Linked DNA regions of Drosophila melanogaster. The protein of the gene in region 1 purifies or fractionates together with the protein of each later gene. This does not show direct contact. Each region holds a gene or a part of one and is shown in the gene's direction. Other genes may lie near its edges.

Evidence for each region.
Region 2: the proteins of Atg4a (region 1) and Cyp6d4 purify together in Drosophila melanogaster (affinity purification with mass spectrometry, with the first as the bait; one large-scale study listed by BioGRID). This does not show direct contact.
Region 3: the proteins of Atg4a (region 1) and Cyp9f2 purify together in Drosophila melanogaster (affinity purification with mass spectrometry, with the first as the bait; one large-scale study listed by BioGRID). This does not show direct contact.
Region 4: the proteins of Atg4a (region 1) and Cyp6a13 purify together in Drosophila melanogaster (affinity purification with mass spectrometry, with the first as the bait; one large-scale study listed by BioGRID). This does not show direct contact.

Annotation. Positions count from the first base shown.
Region 1 is NT_033779.5:1,078,703-1,084,052, forward strand, and holds Atg4a (Autophagy-related 4a), read left to right. Parts: upstream 1-2,208; 5' UTR 2,209-2,541; coding exon 2,542-2,725; intron 2,726-2,875; coding exon 2,876-3,218; intron 3,219-3,274; coding exon 3,275-3,354; intron 3,355-3,417; coding exon 3,418-3,963; intron 3,964-4,086; coding exon 4,087-4,169; 3' UTR 4,170-4,676; downstream 4,677-5,350. Other genes in the region: ast (asteroid), read left to right, coding at 1-363, 419-2,008; CG4629 (uncharacterized protein), read right to left, coding at 5,317-5,350.
Region 2 is NT_033777.3:22,696,648-22,701,672, forward strand, and holds Cyp6d4 (cytochrome P450 6d4), read left to right. Parts: upstream 1-1,671; 5' UTR 1,672-1,748; coding exon 1,749-2,437; intron 2,438-2,494; coding exon 2,495-2,697; intron 2,698-2,757; coding exon 2,758-3,413; 3' UTR 3,414-3,660; downstream 3,661-5,025. Other genes in the region: cd (cardinal), read left to right, coding at 1-702, 760-929, 990-1,285; CCAP (crustacean cardioactive peptide), read right to left, coding at 4,111-4,403, 4,457-4,520, 4,722-4,832. UniProt on the Drosophila melanogaster protein: May be involved in the metabolism of insect hormones and in the breakdown of synthetic insecticides.
Region 3 is NT_033777.3:12,402,157-12,407,977, reverse strand, and holds Cyp9f2 (cytochrome P450 9f2), read left to right. Parts: upstream 1-1,949; 5' UTR 1,950-2,069; coding exon 2,070-2,275; intron 2,276-3,088; coding exon 3,089-3,608; intron 3,609-3,669; coding exon 3,670-4,327; intron 4,328-4,384; coding exon 4,385-4,551; 3' UTR 4,552-4,638; downstream 4,639-5,821. Other genes in the region: CG5167 (uncharacterized protein), read right to left, coding at 1-1,254; Sol1, read right to left, coding at 5,098-5,440, 5,497-5,698, 5,768-5,821. UniProt on the Drosophila melanogaster protein: May be involved in the metabolism of insect hormones and in the breakdown of synthetic insecticides.
Region 4 is NT_033778.4:8,568,358-8,573,042, forward strand, and holds Cyp6a13 (cytochrome P450 6a13), read left to right. Parts: upstream 1-2,141; 5' UTR 2,142-2,173; coding exon 2,174-3,655; 3' UTR 3,656-3,790; downstream 3,791-4,685. UniProt on the Drosophila melanogaster protein: May be involved in the metabolism of insect hormones and in the breakdown of synthetic insecticides.

The DNA of each region.
Region 1 (5,350 bases):
AATGTGAAGAAGCGCACCAGGGCCAACAAGATTGTGACTGGCATTCAAACCACAGGGCTGACAGCCAGTACAAAAGGCAGTTCCAAGACCTACAAGTACCTCGACTGCTGCATCTACCGGGTGTCCCATCTCTGCGGACGAGGAACTCTGAGTCCCGAGAAGCTACCCCTTTTTGCCGCCCTCCTGGGCAATGACTATATTGCCCGCAGTGCCTTCAAGAACTTTTTTGCTGCGGGAATGGGCAAAGCAGGACGAAGTCGCAAACTAAAGCTCCAGCAGAAGCGCATACAGGTCATCCTCACATGGCTGAAGGAGGAAACGGCGGAATCTGCTCTGGCTAAAGTGCTGTCGAGACTGAAAAAGGTTCGTTGCTTGAGATATCTTTTTCCGATTTATGCTAAAAATAATATTCTTGCAGAACCAGCGTGATTCCCTGGTCTCCCAAGTGAATGCAGCCATCTCTGGTTACTCCAACGAGTTGTGCCACGCCTACGATTACTTCGATGAGCACTACGAGAATGCTTTTCCTTATATAGAACCCGTCAGTGAAGAGGAATGCAGCGACGATGAACATTCGTCTAGCTCCGATGAAAAATTTTCAGATGTCGAAGAAGGCGAGGATCAGGAGGAAGCTGATAACCAAGATGAGGAGCAGCAGGAAGAAAATCAAGACGTTGATTCGGGTGATGAAGAAGAAGAGGAGGCGGATGAAGGCCTCGAGCTGGAAGTGGAAGACAAAACGCTACTCTTCCCACAATGGTTTCTGGACAAACTATATCCCGCGCACCTGCCCCGCAGCTTCGTGGACCTTATGCACCTGCGCAAGTACATCAACAACCCACAGATCGAGCACTTTCCCTTCCACGACTCCAATGAAGTGGCCTTACCCATCCTGAACTACGTGTTCGCTCTTCTCCATCACGTAGAGTGTGAGAAAATTGAGCTACCATTAGAAGTGGATATGGATATAGAGGGTTCGACAGTCCCCTATCTCACCTACCTCACCAGAGCTCTGCGAGTGACGAACGTGAGGTATTTCAAGATGCCCATTGAAAAGAAGCCTGCCTATCCGTTTGATCCTCTTTCGCCGGATGCTAGGCATTTAAGAGCTGTATTCGAAGACAATGCTCCCAATGCGGATACGGAGAAGTTGTTCAGCAAGCTCGACCAGTTGCCGGAGGACCTGAGGCTGTACTTTCTGGCCATTATCTACTGGTTACATCGCTCGGAGCACTGTGATTTGCTGCATCTTCACTCGCTGATCCTTAGTTTGGTTGTCCTACGAACCATAGATGTTACAATCCCTGCTGAACGAGAGGTGAAAACCTTCCTTAAAAGATTTGGCAAGACATTGAAAGCAGAGCGAGCAGTGAGGGATAAGGAAGCTGCCGAGGGAATTAAGCGCGGCATCAAACCTGCTCTGCTAGAGCTTTCTGTTCCAGATCGGATGGCTCATGTACCCAAATCGGACTGCTATTTAACTCAGGAACGCCTACTGCCGCACTTCCATATGCAGGAGATCTTCAAAAAGAAGTTTGACTTGTACTCCACCACGGTTATCCACGCATTTGCTGAATTTCAGGCTGTGGTTTACCAACTCAATGGGCTAAATTCTCTTTTGGATTTTCCACTTTTGAGTCCGAGGATGAACCAGCTTTATTGCGGCGCCTTTCTCTACAACATGTATGATGTACTGAGGAATCGTGCCGATGTCCGCTACCATGTTGAGAACTTCCTGCTGCCCGACTCCAAGTTGATGTTCGATTTCTATTGCTACTTGTACGACTGGTGCGCGGAGTTTATACCAACTTGGAAGCGATTGGAGGTGGATCCGACGGCGGCAAAGGCCCTGCAGAAGAAGCGATTGAAGAAGCAGCGTCAGGCGGCTAGGAAAGTGGAGCTAAGGGAGGCCATCGCGGATCCCAATGCGGAAATGGTCGAGGATGCCGATCCAGAAAACGACTTCTTCGATCTGAACAACAAATTCTGCGCACTCAAGGTAGCGTAGCTAGTTTGAAGTCCCGCACGTGCAATTTTGAAGTTTTTACATTGTTACAAATCTATACTTTGCGTAAAATAAGAAAAAAATTAAATATTTTTTAAAAAACTTCATTTTTGAATGCATTTCATTAACAGTTTGGAAAAATACTGTTATTTCCTATGTTATGGTCATGTTAAGTGCAAGGTTCGGTATTTTGGCAAAGTAAAATACCTTATCAGTTGCGGTCATACTAACAGCTACGTCACTGCGTTGTAATCAACAAAAAAGAAAAATAAATCAAACTAAACCAGCCGCAGACTGATCAAATGCTGGTTATCGCATAGTTTGTAATCAGCGCCCGTCACTGCCAACAACAAATGAAACCCCTGTGACCTCGGGCCAGAAGCAGGAGCATTGCCGTTGCTGCCAGCGAAAACACAGGCCAAAACAAAGGCCCACCCGAAAAACAGAACGTCATTCGAAGGCAATTATCGTATAGACGAGCAGCGGAGGCCCTGGTGTCCACCCCCTTCTCCTTCTGCCAGCGCACCGGGCAGTAGATGCTGGTTGGACTCAGCGACCAGCTAGCGCGGATCATGGAGAGCGTCTTCGAGGCGTACTTGGGCCCAGACAGCGTCCTCGCTAGTGCAGTTGGCCAGGCGGTGGGCAGCGGAGAGCCGGAGGACATTCCCCGAAGAAACACCGACGTCTGGGTCCTGGGAAAGAAGTACAACGCCATACAGGGTAAGATGAGACCTTATTTAATGCTGTCATATGGGTACAAATCTAGCATATTGGTCAGCATGAGTCATAAGGGGTTTCCCAAACCTTTTTTCGATTATCATCGATGGATACCAAACTGAAATCCATAATCAACACCCTATCCCTTTTCAGAGCTAGAGCTCATCCGACGGGACATTCAGTCGCGCCTGTGGTGCACATATCGCCATGGATTTTCGCCGTTGGGAGAAGTCCAGCTCACCACGGACAAGGGCTGGGGCTGCATGCTGCGCTGTGGTCAGATGGTTCTCGCCCAGGCCCTGATCGACTTACATTTGGGACGCGACTGGTTCTGGACGCCGGACTGCCGTGATGCCACCTACCTCAAGATCGTGAACCGTTTTGAAGACGTAAGGAATAGCTTCTACTCCATACACCAGATTGCCCAGATGGGAGAGTCCCAGAACAAAGCGGTCGGCGAGTGGCTGGGACCGAATACAGTAGCCCAGATTCTCAAGTAAGACCATTGGCCTAACATGGTGGATAAGTGGTATAATCAATTGCTGATTTCAGAAAACTAGTGCGCTTCGATGACTGGAGCTCCCTGGCGATTCACGTGGCCATGGATAGCACAGTGGTATTGGATGACGTATGTAAGTGTGGAAAATGGCCTAAATAGCCCGACTATTTGCCTAACAACATTGTCCACTTTGTAGATGCGTCGTGCCGAGAAGGAGGCTCGTGGAAGCCACTGCTGCTCATAATCCCCCTGCGCCTGGGCATCACAGACATTAACCCGCTTTACGTGCCTGCCTTAAAGCGCTGCCTTGAACTAGACAGCAGTTGTGGCATGATCGGAGGTCGACCAAACCAGGCTCTGTACTTCCTGGGCTATGTGGACGATGAGGTTCTCTACCTAGATCCTCATACCACGCAGAGAACGGGCGCCGTGGCACAGAAAACTGCTGCGGCAGAACAGGACTACGACGAGACCTACCATCAAAAGCATGCTGCTCGCCTGAACTTCTCCGCCATGGACCCCTCGCTGGCGGTTTGTTTCCTCTGCAAGACCAGTGATAGTTTCGAGTCCCTGTTAACCAAGTTGAAGGAGGAGGTGCTCAGCCTCTGCTCGCCTGCGCTCTTCGAGATCAGTCAAACCCGCGCGGTCGATTGGGACACCACGGAGGACATCGACTGGCCCACCATGCCGGACATCGATTGGCCTGCGGGCACCTCGGATTCGGACTCTTTTGCCATAGTTGGTAAGTTGGTTCTGTTGAAGCTGACCATTAAGACCATTATTTATAACTTCACAGCTTGTAATCTGAATCAACAGTCCGAAATTTCACTCCGATTTCACTCAATAAATTCACTCCATTTTCCAGAAGAGAGCGGCAGGGACAGCGACGCCGGCTGTAGCGGCGCCATTGGCAGCGGCAAAAAGCCCAGTGAGAGAGCCGTCATTTGAGAGGTCGCCGGCGGAGCGCCTGCGCCTGCGCCGCACCAGAGCAGATGAAGCCCAGCCAGGCGAAAGTGGAGCACCCAATGAGGAGAAAGAGAGTGGGCCGGGAGGTCGAGCCCCTGCGGATGCTGCGAATGCAATAAACTAAGGCTAAAGTGCATAATTAGACGAGTGGTTGAGATTTAGATTTTAGTATGTTTACGATTTGTACGAATGCGGTTCTTAGCGATTCATAATGCTGCTTTATTGTACGCGATTGACTCCACGGGAGACAATTTGGCAAAACACACACACACAGAGCGACACTTACGGACACATACCGCTTTTTGATGATCAATTAAACATTTTTATGCAACGTTGTACATTGAAGACTCGATGAGATCGAGGCAATCGCCTTAGCCCGGTGTGTATTTATATGTTTGTAATCGTAATATTCATTTTCCTTTCGTATATTCGTCTGTATATGCTCAAAAATGGACCAACAACTAAATACATAATACTTGGACTATATGTATATATCTATATATGTATATATATATGTATGTATGTATATATCAACTTTGCCATCCGCCTCTGGACTCAACGGCTGGACAAACTCAAGCTACACGAACCAAGGAACTTTCTCGAATGAGTAACCAGGATGAGGATGCAGGAATCTACGTTAACAACAAACACGCGGCTACGCAGCTGGCGAATTGACACTAATTGGGCTTGACCTTTGGCCTTCCGGGCTGATTCCCGCAGAAAGGCAAACTGGGATTTGCAGATCAGAGTATCCAACTGTCTCCTACTATCGGAAGATAATCCTTTCTATTCATATTCAAGCGACTTATGTTTCTTGCGCTTCGAATGCATTTAACTTTTGCAATTCATCCATCCTAATTCTCGATATTCTGGTTAAATTCTATGTTGTATTCACTATAAAATTTTCTAATCTCAATTTGTTGGTTCAAAATCAAGCACTGGATATTTAAAGCTGATCGAAACGGACTAGCCTCTAGTAGGAAAGGTTTTTGAGCTACTATTTGAGTTCCTTGAACCTTAGATTCCTTTCAAAAGCGACACACCCAGTTTGCCTTTCCTCTCGGGGAACTCAAAGACCCAGCGGAACCAGGAGAGTAATATGAACATTCAACAACTATTTTCGGATGTCTTAGAGTATGCAGCACGACCTCTCAATCCGCTTC
Region 2 (5,025 bases), on another chromosome or scaffold:
GAACCTGTTGCTCACATCTATGCATTTGCTGTGGGCTAGACATCACAACTATTTGGCTCGACAATTGCAGGAGCAGAATCCACATTGGGAGGATGAGCGGCTCTACCAGGAAGCCCGAAAGATTCTTGGTGCTCAGATGGCACACATCACCTACAATGAGTTTTTGCCAGTGCTGCTGGGGAAGAATATCAGCGAGGCCAAGGGCTTGCTGCCTGCCAAACACAATCTAAATGCTCCGGATACGTATGACCCGGAGGTGGATCCAAGTATTGCCAATTGCTTTGCAGCAGCCGCATTTCGATTTGCACACACTCTTCTACCGGGATTGTTTAATATCTCGAGGGATAACAGCACTCCCGAGGCCATCGAACTGCACAAGATGCTCTTCAATCCATTCTCGCTCTGGGCGGAGCATGGCATTGACCACGCCCTGATGACAGCGGCCAATACGCCGGTGATGCAAGTGGATCGCTTCTTTTCACTGGAAGTCACGCAAAAGCTTTTCGAAGGCACCGCAGAGGATAGGGTGCCTCTTTGTGGACTCGATTTGGTATCCTTAAACATTCAGAGGGGTCGGGATCATGGCATACCCTCGTATCCAGTCTTCCGTCGCCATTGCCGCCTGCCGACGGTGGACACGTGGGAGGAGATGTCACAGGCCATTGACAACGCTACTCTGGACTCCATCCGGCAGATTTATGAGTAAGTAAAGTTCTCGATTATAGTATTGCCTTAAAGGTAAACACTTTTGGTTTTTAGATCTCCGCAGGATGTGGACGTCTATACGGGTGCACTTAGTGAGCCGCCACTGGATGGAGCTATTTTTGGTCCGTTGCTCAGCTGCATGGTTTCCGACCAGTTCCTACGCCTCAAACTAGGTGACTCCCATTGGTACGAACGGAAAATGGGCCCACAGAAGTTCACCAAAGGTGAGAGTCCTTGGAAGTCCTATTTTCTCATTAAGAATCGTGTTTATCCTGATTCATAAGCTCAATTGGCGGAGATCTACAAGACCAGTCTGGCCGCCATCATTTGTCGCAACTCAGATGGAATCACCCGAGTGAGGGAGCATGTTATGCAGAGACTGCGCGATGGAGGTAATCCCCATGTGGATTGCCAGGACCTGGAGGGATTCCATTTCAATTTCGAACCCTGGTCCGAGAAGCAACAGCCCCAGGATCTTCATAGTGCCGGCATAAGCAGGGGATCCACTTCGGTGCGAGTAATGTCCAAGGCAAATCATCAAGCCCACAACGTAACCCTACATATTGATAAAGGAATCTAGTTAGAAACAAGATTCAATTTTGATTAGGAAGGATTTAATATTAAATATTATAAAAAACATATACTTCTAAACCGGTTCCTTCTATTTTAAAATAGAGTTGCTATGCTAAAGTTAGTTAACTAAACAGCAGCCCATCATAAATCAACAATAAGTCAACGAATTCTAAGATTATAAATCAACTTTTAAGTATTTTGTATATAATAATTGTTAGCTTATAACATAAGAGCTTTGTTTTGCATTTCACCATTAATATAAAGCTGTCATCAAGACTATCAATGTAGCTTTGTTCATTTAGAATTCTTCGCTGTAAAGAATTAAGAGAACGTTACTGCCAAAGAGAACAAATAATCGACGAATTTCAGCGCATATAAGTGGAGGCTCTCCAGTTTGATAGTCAGTTATATATTGACTTTCGCAGAGAAAGGGTGGATTTAAAAAAAAGAAAAGGTGCACTACTTCGACTATGTTTTCGCTGATTTTATTGGCCGTAACGCTATTGACTTTGGCGTGGTTCTATCTGAAGCGCCACTATGAGTACTGGGAGCGACGCGGATTTCCATTTGAAAAACACTCCGGGATTCCATTCGGTTGCTTGGACAGTGTGTGGCGGCAGGAGAAGAGCATGGGCTTGGCCATCTACGATGTGTATGTGAAGAGTAAAGAGCGCGTCTTGGGCATTTATTTGCTCTTCCGTCCGGCTGTTTTGATCAGAGACGCCGATCTGGCTCGCCGTGTTCTGGCCCAGGATTTCGCCAGTTTCCACGATCGCGGCGTTTACGTTGATGAGGAACGGGATCCCCTGTCGGCCAATATCTTCTCGCTTCGCGGTCAGAGCTGGCGATCGATGAGGCACATGTTGTCGCCATGTTTCACATCCGGAAAGTTGAAGAGCATGTTCAGCACATCCGAGGATATTGGTGACAAGATGGTGGCCCATCTGCAAAAGGAGCTGCCGGAGGAGGGCTTCAAGGAGGTGGACATAAAGAAAGTGATGCAAAACTATGCCATTGACATTATAGCCTCGACTATCTTTGGCTTGGATGTAAATAGCTTCGAAAATCCTGATAACAAGTTCCGTAAACTGGTGTCGTTGGCCAGAGCCAATAATAGATTCAATGCCATGTTCGGCATGATGATCTTCCTGGTGCCCTCGTAAGTAATAAGTGAGAGTGAGTTTTGCTATGGTGTGTCTAATGGATGTTCTTGTAGGATAGCACAGTTCCTATTCAGAATAGGTTTTAAAAATCCAGTTGGCCTGGCCATGTTGCAGATTGTCAAGGAAACCGTTGAGTATCGCGAGAAACATGGAATAGTGCGCAAGGATCTGTTGCAGTTGCTCATTCAGCTGAGGAATACCGGCAAGATAGACGAGAATGACGAGAAGTCCTTTAGCATTCAGAAGACACCCGATGGTAAGTCATAATACAAGTTAAATTCTAATCAAGATAGATTGAGTGGTTTAACGTTTTCAGGTCATATTAAAACCATATCCTTGGAGGCCATCACCGCTCAGGCTTTTATATTCTACATCGCTGGTCAGGAGACCACCGGATCGACTGCAGCCTTTACCATCTACGAGCTGGCTCAGTATCCAGAGCTACTGAAGCGCCTGCAGGATGAAGTGGACGAGACACTGGCCAAAAACGACGGAAAGATCACCTACGATTCCCTGAACAAGATGGAATTTTTGGACCTGTGTGTGCAGGAAACCATTCGCAAATATCCGGGTCTTCCCATTCTGAATCGTGAATGCACCCAGGACTACACAGTACCCGACACCAACCACGTCATTCCGAAGGGAACGCCAGTTGTGATCTCCCTGTACGGCATTCACCATGATGCAGAGTACTTCCCGGATCCCGAGACCTATGATCCCGAACGCTTCTCGGAGGAGAGTCGCAATTATAATCCCACTGCATTCATGCCGTTTGGCGAGGGTCCCAGGATTTGCATTGCCCAGAGGATGGGTCGTATTAACTCCAAACTGGCCATCATCAAGATCCTACAGAACTTCAATGTCGAGGTGATGAGCAGGAGCGAAATAGAGTTCGAGAACAGTGGCATTGCCTTGATTCCCAAACATGGAGTGCGAGTGCGTTTGTCCAAAAGAGTGCCTAAATTATCATAAAAATTACAATTGCAATGATGAAATACAATAGTTAAGTGGCTAGCAAATCACTCCGATTATTTGGAATGATAAGAGATTACCGTCAGATAAAAAACAAAAAGTGTACAATAAATTCATTATCAAATCATTAATTAATATTTAAATTCGAAAATAACTTTTATGAATTAACATAGTTTCTTGTTATAATAATGTTACTTTTAACTCGCTCTCTATTTATAGGTATTATGTAAATTATAAAGTTGAAATGAATATGTGTGTTTTGTTAATTTATTTGCTAAAGTTGCCTAGGTGCAATCCATCTGTTTGCTGTTGAAATACCTTTTATGATTGTCCTTATCGTTATCATAAGTATGCAATGATACGAGAACCAACTGCGATTACCAATTACTAATGTCACCAAGAGATAGCATAGGGTAACATATTGTATATTCAGTGTGGTAAAAATAATGAACTTTCTAAACCGTTTTCTATAATCAGATGTATTACCAATAAATACAATAGACCAGAAAACAACAAAAAGTGAGGTCAACAATTTTTATTGAATGCAATGCCAGTGCTGTGGAATTCTTCACAATTCAAGGAGTCATGGATAAAGATAGTATGTACAATAACAAAAGCAGTGTGCTAACCGTCCAGTCAATTTGCTTTCCAGAAATCCGACTATTCCGATAATTCCGATTTATCCGATTATTTCGATTTATTTGCTTTCGCGCTCCTCCAATTGCTGCATCTCCTTTTCATTTTGCAACATTTTCTGTTTGTTCTTTTGCCGAAAGATTTCCTTGCTGGCTTCTTTGATGGCCTCGAAGATTTTGGCCTGCGACATGATTTGCTTTTGAACATTTTCCACAGCTGGCTCGGCATTGATATCGATCAAATCACTTAGACCTTCGGATAAATACTCATTGTTATAGGGTTTCTCTTCGACTTCGTTGCGTTTGAATAGCGAGAATGGCGGATACGAGGGATACGTACGCTTTCGTCCACAGCCTGTAAATCGTCCGGATTGTAATGGATATTATTATATATTGTATTAAAATTACCTGTAAATGCATTGCAAAACGGTCGCTTCTCGTACTTCCATTGTATAACGCCACTTAGCTTGTGCTGCAAATAAGACGATAAATTATATTTATATCAAAACTAATCAGGTAACAACTATTTAATTAGGTATGTAAATGAACGTTAAACAATGCGTCGCGTTATCAACTTAGATTATAACTCCGCTTAACTAATTTAACGAATTTCACAATTTACTTCCACTTTCTGTTGGGTCTTAATGAAATAGTTAATCCATTGATAACTCACATTTGCCATATTGGTGCCCTCGTTGTTCTCCCTTTCCAGCGAAGCCTGAGAGCAAATGGCACAAGCCAGGAGTGCAAGCAGCCTCAGGGAAATCCTCATGGACGTTCTCATTGCAGGAGTGTGTTTTTTTTAATAAGGATCCACTTAGCAACCGACGCGCTTAACACTCGAAAGCCAAATGAAAGTGGCCGCAGCTTGGGCCTTGGTCAACATCTCGGCTACGCAATGTGAGACTTGTTGCTTTCAGAAGGCGACAGGACCACCAGCTGGGCCTGGAATGTATTTTGGTTGCCACTTAATGGCT
Region 3 (5,821 bases), on another chromosome or scaffold:
CTTCTCCAGCTCGCTGATGAGACTGGTGCCACGGAAGGCTGCTCCGGGTGGCAGGACTCCGCCGGATCCGGGCATCTTGTCGCTTTCGTTGAGGATGGTCTTCGCCGTGGAGAGCAGTGCAACGCAAGTGGATCCATAGCCGGGATTGGGACCCGTAACCCTCACGGTCAGTGTCTTTGTGGGCGGAGAGGTGTACTGATCGGTGGTCTCGGCTAGTTTTTCGGACTTGGGCCAGCCTGTGGCCTTCATGGTCATTCTGAAGAAGGAGCGCTCCATCCGCGCCTCACTGGGACCCTCGCGGGAAGCCATGCCGCCGGAGAAGACGGTGGGGTACTTAAGCAGCAGCTGGCGGCCAAAGGAGAACTTGGCCATAATGCCAATGATAGAGGCGAAGAGCACGACAACGCTGGCCGCAAACCATGAGGGATACGTCATGTAGGCCTGCATCTGAACGGGTCGCTTCTTCTCCAGTTCGTAAAGGAAACGCTGCGAGCGCATCACCACCGAGCGATCTGTTTCAGGGAACGGCAGGATCACCTTGTTGTCCACTTCCGCGGCACGGGAAAGCGGCGATCGTGACTTAAGAGCCGGATGAAAGTTGGGCAGACGCTCGGGAAACAACTTGCGCCGGATGGCCACAGACTCGCTCCGGTTGGCGATAGCGTGAATGGCGCTCTCCCAGGTGCCGGTGTTGAGTGCAGCACTGCCCGTTCCCTTGGTACCTCCCTTGACGCCCAGATGGACAAAGTTCTCCACTGAGTTGACCACGCCGTCGAAGTTCTTCTCCACGAAGGTGACTCCCATGTCGGCGGGAATGGAATCAAAGCCGCACGCACTGATCACGTACACGCCACGCTCCTTGGCGAGATCATGGTAGCGCAGCTGCATGGTTTCCATGTACTGTGGCTCTCCGCTTACGTCTACGTGATGCGTTCCCGCCTCGATGCAAGCCCTGACCACTCGCTCGCCGAAGAACCGATATGGTCCGGCCGTATTGACTAAAATGCGGCAGCGTTTGGCCATCTCTAGCAGTGACGCCTCGTTGTTCACGTCCGCGATGACGATCGGCGTTTGGGAGAGGTCTGTCTTGGACTTTGCACCCATCTCCCGCAGCACCGACTGCAGCTTCTCCTGGTTGCGTCCGGCGATGCCCCATTGCAGGCCCTTCAGCACGCTGACAGCCTCGAAGACGGTGTACTTTCCGGTAAACCCGGAGGCACCGAAGATTATGGCATCCAGTTTCTTAGCCGCCATTCCAGAGTCCACAGATATGCGACTATAATGATTTGACTAGAAATGTCTTATCACTTCCAGACCGAAAGGTAATTCGTCTGCTTCGGCCGACTGGCGAAATGTTAATAATGCTAATCGCACCGTATAAGAGCTGTATTTATTGAAGATAGTAGCGTCGTGACTGTACAAAACTGAATCGAACAGGTAAAGATCGATTGCAGATAGCAACAAGTGGCTAGTAACTCGGATAATGAAGTTGAAATGAAATAAAATATTTTTACTAGAAACTATTGAAAATGAAAATGCTTTGCGTCCTTTTTTATCGATGATAATTTAATTTATGGTGATGATGGTTTAATTTACATCCTAATACTTAAAATCCCTCAGATCAAATTGTTAGTTCTCGAACTACTACGCATAAACTTCGATAGCCAACAAGAAATCGATGAATTTTAAAACGATAAATTGGCCAAGTTTAAATATATGAATTTAATGAAGTTGTGTGCCATTAAAATAGAAAAAATATATATTAAAGAATTAGAAAACAGAATTTCGAAATATTCTGTTTCTATATTTTAAACATAATATTGGTATGCTCAGAGTCGTCAGCATTTTCTCCAACACGCCGTGATAATGAAATGATGAGTGATATTCTAAATCATTTGCGCTCAGAAATTTGTACATACTTGTGTGTATTACAGACAACAAGTATTTTATCAAATGCAGTACACGAAGCTTTGTTAGAAAGCTCTGCGTGGGGACAACAAAACGCTCCCGATTGTTTGTGGCGTAGTTAGTTATATTCTGGACGCTTAGATCGCCAAGCTAGGGTCAACATGTTGTGGGAGTTCTTCGCCCTATTTGCGATCGCTGCCGCCTTGTTCTACCGTTGGGCGTCCGCCAACAATGATTTCTTCAAGGATAGGGGCATCGCCTATGAAAAGCCAGTGCTCTACTTTGGCAACATGGCCGGCATGTTCCTGCGGAAGAGGGCCATGTTTGACATAGTCTGTGATCTCTACACCAAAGGCGGAAGTAAGAAGTGAGTTAAATTCATTGATCCGGATTTAATAAGTTGATTACCTAATATGCATCCGGCTCACTTGCACTTGCACTTAAAACACGTTTGGAACAAGTGTGTATCTACTGGCCTCCAGCATTGCGTACAAGCCTATATAAAATCGTATGTCAAGGTCAGGCAATCAGTGATCTATCTATACACACATTTAGTGGGTGCGGCTGCGTTCGACTACGTTTTGAATATACAATTACAGAAATTCAGAAATACTCTATTATATTTTGTTAAGTCTTTTATCTAAAGCAGTGTGTAACTGCCAAGATAATTGGCGAAATGCTTGGTTCTATTAGTTTAGTTTGCCATAATCTTATCGATTATACGACAGCTTTAAATGTTGTTTGTCTCGGACGGCAAACTTGATAGGAAAAATAATTGATAAAGCTCCTGAAAAGTGCTATAACGATAAGGTTATCTAATTTATTAATTAACTTCATATTGGGGCAACTCTTTGTATGACTTTACCCTTTTTGTTACTTTATAAACATGCAATCATTATTGTACTCAGCCTTTTCAATTGGATTTAATGTACATATGATTTATTTATAGACCAATACGAGAAATCCGCTTTATAAATTTATAGTTTTCCAAAAAGAAATCGAGATGGGTTAATTGAAAATTCGTCGGATAGGTAATGAACAACGCTAGCCATGCATAAACTCGAATTTCTGTTATCGTTTTCTAAACTTGTTGAGCGCACGATTAATAATTTCTGATTTGATTTATCAGTGTGTGACTCACAAAAAGCTTATCGGTCATTAACATTATTATTTTTTTTAGATTTTTTGGTATCTTTGAGCAGCGACAACCACTTTTAATGGTGCGCGACCCAGATCTTATCAAGCAGATAACCATAAAGGACTTCGATCACTTTATCAATCATCGCAATGTGTTTGCCACCAGCAGCGATGATGATCCACATGACATGAGTAACCTTTTCGGCAGCTCGCTGTTCTCCATGCGAGATGCTCGGTGGAAGGATATGCGAAGCACTCTGAGTCCGGCATTTACAGGCAGCAAAATGCGTCAGATGTTCCAGCTGATGAACCAGGTGGCCAAGGAGGCCGTGGACTGTCTTAAGCAGGATGATTCAAGGGTTCAGGAGAATGAACTGGACATGAAGGACTACTGCACACGATTCACCAATGATGTGATCGCCTCGACAGCCTTTGGACTGCAAGTGAACTCGTTCAAGGATCGCGAAAATACCTTCTATCAGATGGGAAAAAAGCTGACCACATTTACATTCCTGCAGAGCATGAAGTTCATGTTGTTCTTCGCATTGAAGGGTCTTAATAAGGTTGGCACAGCATACACACATATCAAAAAAATATATTCCTTAATTTTAATAATCCTTGTAGATCCTTAAGGTCGAGCTTTTCGATAGGAAAAGCACTCAGTATTTCGTGCGTCTGGTGCTCGATGCTATGAAATACCGACAGGAGCACAATATTGTACGTCCCGACATGATAAACATGCTGATGGAGGCTCGTGGTATCATCCAGACGGAGAAGACCAAGGCATCTGCCGTTCGCGAGTGGAGCGATCGCGACATTGTCGCCCAGTGTTTCGTGTTCTTCTTTGCTGGCTTCGAGACTTCGGCGGTGCTGATGTGCTTCACCGCTCACGAGCTAATGGAGAACCAGGATGTGCAGCAGAGGCTATACGAGGAGGTACAGCAAGTGGACCAAGACCTGGAGGGCAAAGAACTGACCTATGAGGCAATTATGGGCATGAAGTATCTGGATCAGGTCGTCAACGAGGTTCTGCGAAAGTGGCCGGCGGCAATTGCCGTCGATCGAGAATGCAACAAGGATATCACCTTCGATGTGGATGGCCAGAAAGTCGAGGTCAAGAAGGGCGATGTCATCTGGCTGCCTACATGCGGCTTCCATCGTGATCCCAAGTACTTTGAGAACCCTATGAAGTTCGATCCGGAACGTTTTAGCGATGAGAACAAGGAGTCTATTCAGCCATTCACATACTTCCCCTTTGGCCTGGGTCAACGCAACTGCATTGGTAAGTTGATTGATTCAAAATTGTTCTTCGAAAAAATGTAAAATGTATTTATTATAGGTTCCCGATTCGCTCTACTTGAAGCAAAGGCTGTTATCTACTATCTTTTGAAGGACTACCGCTTTGCCCCTGCCAAGAAATCCTGCATTCCACTAGAGCTCATTACTTCCGGTTTTCAGTTGTCACCCAAAGGCGGCTTTTGGATTAAACTTGTTCAAAGGAACTAATCTTATAAACGATCAAAATAATAATATGTTTTGTTGAATGTTATGTTTTAAAGAAGTTGACATTATTAAATTTAAACAATTAATGGTAATTTGTTTCTTTGTTTTTAATTTATACCAAAAATGATAAAAAGATAGCATATACTTATGTCGTGACTCTACAAAACTGAATCGAACAGGTAAAGATCGATTGCAGATAACAACGAGTGGCTCGTTTACACGGTAACTCTGATAATGAAGTTGAAATTAAATAAATAATTTTTACCAGAAACTATTGAAAATGAAAATGCTTGGCGGAGTTTTTATCGATGATATCACGTTTAATTTACATCCTAATACTTAAAATCCCTCAACTTAAATTGTTAGTTCTTGAACTACTACGCATAAACTTCGATAGCCAACATGAAATCGATTGCTTTTAAAACGATAATTTGGCCAAGATTAAATATTTAAATTTAATGAAGTTGTGTGCCATTAAAATAGAAAAAAATTATTAAAATTTATTAAAGAATTAGAAAACAAAATTTCGAAATATTTTGTCTCTATATTTTAAACATAAGATTGGTATGCTTTATAAGTGCATAAGATACATGCAATTAATTTGTTTACATTTGCAACCGGCTGAGTTGACGCTGTTGAGACGAAACTCTGCATGGAGGCATTATCCCGAAGATCGGTGATGGAATTATTCACTGAAACGGTTTCAAAGGTGTACAGGGCGCGGAATCCGATGGCCACAAAGCGATCATTGGAATGCAAGGTGACTCGAAAGAAACGTCCATCAGAACGCATTTCAAAATCGGGAAGCTTTCCGCAGTATCTGCTGAACTTTCGATCCGTGCTCATGAAATTGGAAAACTCGATGTAATCGCTGGCGGTTTGGTGGTCACAACTGCACAGAAAAGGGGATTAAACATTTTTAGGTGATAGTTTAGATAAAGATCTTACCTTCCAATGCCCTCGATATCGAAATATGTGAAGTGAAGCACAACTCTTTCGTCACTTGCTCCGTAGAAATAATAATTGCACACAACATTTTCCAGGTAATATCCGGGAAAATTCGGAGAGTGAAATAGGCCACTTATTCGCTCGCTGCTATTGTAGACAAAGGAACATCCTTCCTTTTGAATCCCCGACATGATACCAAAATCTTGAAAATAAGCCAATTTTTAAATAAATATCAGTCTTTATTTGATTAAGACTCAGTGGAAACACTTACTGGTTAAGAAACGGTACTCCGCGCGAAATCCGTAGTATTGCACCTTGTTCGTCA
Region 4 (4,685 bases), on another chromosome or scaffold:
TTGGAAAATAAGCTCGAAACAAAGAATTCATTTGCATTAATTGTTATAGCGATAACGGGTACATTTATAGAGCCCCAACTGATATTGTCCCCTCTTTTCAGCATTACCAACAAATTTTTGCGGCATTAGGCATTAGACCAAACATTTCGTCGACTCTTTATCACCGATTTCTGTTACGGTGGTCATGTTGACAGAATTTCTTGATAACGAATACGATTGGGCAACTTGAGTCACCGGAATAATAAAAATGTTCTATCTATTCTATCTTCTATCTATTGTTATTTCCGAGGTTAATAATAGAAAAAGACAGGAGGCTATCAGATACTATCAGATTGCGATATGCAAGCCCTAATTTCATAAAATATGTACATACATATTTAGTCCGGCGTACATATAAACTCCTGTGATTCTGATCTAACATATATGAGTCTCAAAGGGTTTCCTTCTATATTTTACTTTCAAACTTTTACTTTTAAACTTTTCAACGAATCTAGTATGCTCTTCACTTTACCTCTTAAAGAATAAGTTATATCATCACAATGTACAATAGTACACTTAAACTAAACAATGTATATAGTATTTGTTTACAACCTTATCTTCTAGTACCGTCTAGTTCACCATGGGAAAAAGCTTTGTCGACTCAAAAGCTGAGCAAATGTTTATATGTATATTGTACATATGTTTGATTGTTTGCTTGATTGCCGATTAAGCTCCCGAGATCTATGAAGAAAATTCGTTAGAACCTAACAATAAGCTTTCAAGAAAATACTTCGCGTACCAGTGTGCTGGATAGCTTAATCCAAAGAAGTATCTTGATCGCCATGCGGCTCACTCTCGCATTATTCAGTTTGGTCCCAATGTTGGCTTATATAGATTCTATTACAACACCTACACATATTGGGCCAGAACGGGGAGTGTCCCATGAGCGTCCTCTACCGCTGATTGCAAACATCAAGGGAATCGGCACATAGTGGATCCCGAATCCCAAAGCCGAGTTCAGAAGAAAGGGCCGCATTTACAGTTACCAACTCCAAGTTGGCTAAAAAGTTAAAAATGAAGATTCTTCGCGATGATTTGACCGACTTCTTCTTGTCGGTGGTTAAACCGGCATTAAGCGGAATGACTTTATGGACCAGTCCTCCGAGCGGAGGACGAAGTAGCAGGCAAGGAGGGTCAAAGTTTGATCTCTCCCACAACTGGACCCTGGAGCAAATGGCTGCCCAGGCCATCGTGTTCTTCTTGGCTGGATTCGAGACCTCCTCCAGTACGATGAGCTCTTGTAAGTACGAACTAGCCCTCCAGCCGGAGATCTAGAATCAAATAAGGGATGAAATAGAAAGGGTTCTGGAAGGAAATGCGATTACTTACGACGCCTTAGCTAAAATTAACTATCCAGAACAGGTCTTGTCTGGTAAGCATGGAAAATTTGATAGCGCAACTTAACTTTTAGAAACTCTTCGAAAACATCCAATTAATTAAATTTTTGCTCGAAACACAAGAAAGCTTTAGGGTCCGCAATACTGAGCTCATCGTTGAGAAGGGAACTTCATTACTGATACCTGTGCACAGTGTTCACTACGATCCGCACTTATATCCACATCCAAAACTCTTCGATTCCAGCCGCCTCAAGGCTTATAAGTCCAACTCCCGCCATCCATTTGCATATCTGCCCTTCGGAACATTTGGACCCCGCAGTTGCATAGGTCTGCGTTTTGGCAAAATGCAGGCCAAGATTGGCATTGTGTCAGCGCTTCAAGTTCGGTGATTCAGACCTAACAGACATCCCCTTAGCTTCGGACACTCGCAGCGCCATAGTGGAACGCATATAGACTCGGAATTTTACTAACTTTGGAAAGTTTAGAATGTACTTGTAAAACTTGTAAATAATCTAATAACGCTTAGCCAGTGAAGTTTTTTAAATTTTCAAATAATAATTGATCTGAAAACTGAACATTAGCAACGCTCTATATATTTTGTTTACAAATCATTTGATTCTCATTTAAAATGACGCAAGATATGTTTATGTATGTTTAGATAACTGCAGTTCTTTGCATATAAGACCGATAGAGAAAGAGAGTCCCCGAAAAGAGAGCGAAGCGAAAGCTTTTCAGACGGCAAATCAAATGTACCCCACTTTTCCACTCAGTTGTTATTCTATCGAGCAGTAGGTACCATGCTGACGCTCCTGGTACTCGTGTTCACCGTCGGACTTCTGCTATATGTCAAGCTACGCTGGCATTACAGCTACTGGAGCAGAAGGGGCGTCGCCGGAGAAAGACCCGTGTACTTCCGCGGCAATATGAGTGGGCTGGGAAGGGACCTTCACTGGACGGATATCAACCTGCGGATCTACCGGAAGTTTCGGGGAGTGGAGCGCTACTGCGGCTACTTCACTTTTATGACCAAGTCGCTGTTTATCATGGATCTGGAACTGATCCGCGATATAATGATCAGGGACTTTTCCAGCTTCGCCGATCGAGGACTCTTCCATAATGTGCGGGACGATCCACTGACCGGGAACCTTCTCTTCCTGGACGGACCGGAGTGGCGCTGGTTGCGCCAGAATTTGACGCAGGTGTTCACCTCCGGCAAGATGAAATTCATGTTCCCCAACATGGTGGAGGTGGGCGAGAAGCTAACGCAGGCGTGTCGCCTCCAGGTCGGCGAGATAGAGGCAAAGGATCTGTGTGCCAGGTTCACCACGGATGTGATCGGCAGCTGTGCCTTCGGCCTCGAGTGTAATAGTCTCCAGGATCCGGAGTCGCAGTTCCGGCGAATGGGCCGATCAGTGACCCAGGAGCCCCTGCATTCGGTGCTCGTCCAGGCCTTTATGTTTGCCCAGCCGGAGTTGGCTAGGAAGCTGCGCTTCAGGCTTTTTCGCCCGGAGGTCAGTGAGTTCTTCTTGGACACGGTACGCCAGACATTGGACTACAGGCGACGGGAGAATATTCATCGCAACGACCTGATCCAACTACTAATGGAATTGGGTGAGGAGGGAGTAAAAGACGCCCTCTCCTTCGAGCAGATTGCGGCCCAGGCATTGGTTTTCTTTTTGGCCGGGTTCGACACCTCCTCCACCACCATGTCCTTCTGCCTGTATGAGCTGGCCCTCAACCCCGATGTCCAAGAAAGGCTACGGGTTGAGGTACTCGCCGTTTTGAAACGCAACAACCAAAAGCTCACGTACGACTCCGTTCAGGAGATGCCCTACCTGGACCAAGTGGTTGCCGAGACGCTTCGCAAGTATCCTATACTGCCTCACTTACTGAGGCGTTCCACCAAGGAGTACCAGATACCGAATAGCAACCTAATCCTGGAGCCGGGATCTAAGATAATAATACCTGTGCATAGTATTCATCACGACCCAGAGCTTTATCCCGATCCAGAAAAGTTTGATCCCAGTCGCTTTGAGCCAGAAGAGATTAAGGCTAGGCATCCTTTCGCCTATTTGCCTTTTGGCGAGGGTCCTCGAAATTGCATAGGCGAGCGTTTTGGTAAACTGCAAGTGAAGGTGGGTCTTGTATACCTTCTAAGGGATTTTAAGTTCAGCAGGTCGGAGAAAACACAGATCCCGCTGAAGTTTTCCAGTCGTAATTTCCTGATATCCACCCAGGAGGGAGTTCATTTGAGGATGGAAGGACTTGAAAGACCATAATAGTTGTTATCTGAAAATGTGTATAATCCTGACAGCGCGAAATATGTATAGGAAAACTCTTATCTACAAAAGACTGCGTTCCAAGATTGCATTAATCCCTACATTATACAAATAAACACAAAGAAACTGTCTAGTATCAAAAAGCTTTTTTTACAATTGAATAATGATAGATAAATAAATAAAAAAGAATTCAATTTTAGAGAGGGAGAGAAACGACTTAAAAATATGTTTTGACTGGAAATTTGAATTCTTAAAAGAAGGTGTCTTTGAATTTAAATATTAACCAATCCGAATTTTAGATGTATGTACATACATATAAAATAAAAGCTTTTAAAAGCCAGTCTTGTATATACTCTCTGTCAGAATACTGTGCTCAAAAGCTTTATAATAATAAAATTTAATTTAGAAATCTTTAATAACAAGGATAGTTTAAAATCTAATTTAGGTTGTCCTAACGTTTGGCAAGCCAAATTATAATAAGATAAGATACATTACAGAACAAAAATATTTCTAAATATTTAGGGAAAACTTTATGTTATGTTTCAAAATAAATAAATAAAGTAATTCAGTTTTCACATGGGAAAAACTTACTCCACATTTACTTAAATTGTGAAATGAAAATTTTATTATCAAATCATAAGTTAAGCATTTATTACAGACATATTATTACATTATTACAGTTCCATAGCATTTCTTAAGCGACAATAAAGCTAATTGCTATAGCACTCAAGTTGGTGGATGACATGGACAAACCCATGGACTCAGCTTTACTCACACTTAAAAGCTGACTAATATAGCGTCTGGAAAAGTTTGTTATCAGTCAGTTTCTTACCAACTCAGTAAATGCGCATCTTTTCAAACCTGTTATTATCAAAATGAAATCGGATGATACAGGCTCCTGCCTGTAGTTGCGTAGCTCTTAAAATACTGATTCATTGGACATCTACTCGTGCAGAAACATCCAATTTCTTAAAAACTATCATAACAAATTACTTGCTTTGCCTACAAAGCCCTTAAAAAGCTTTTTTAC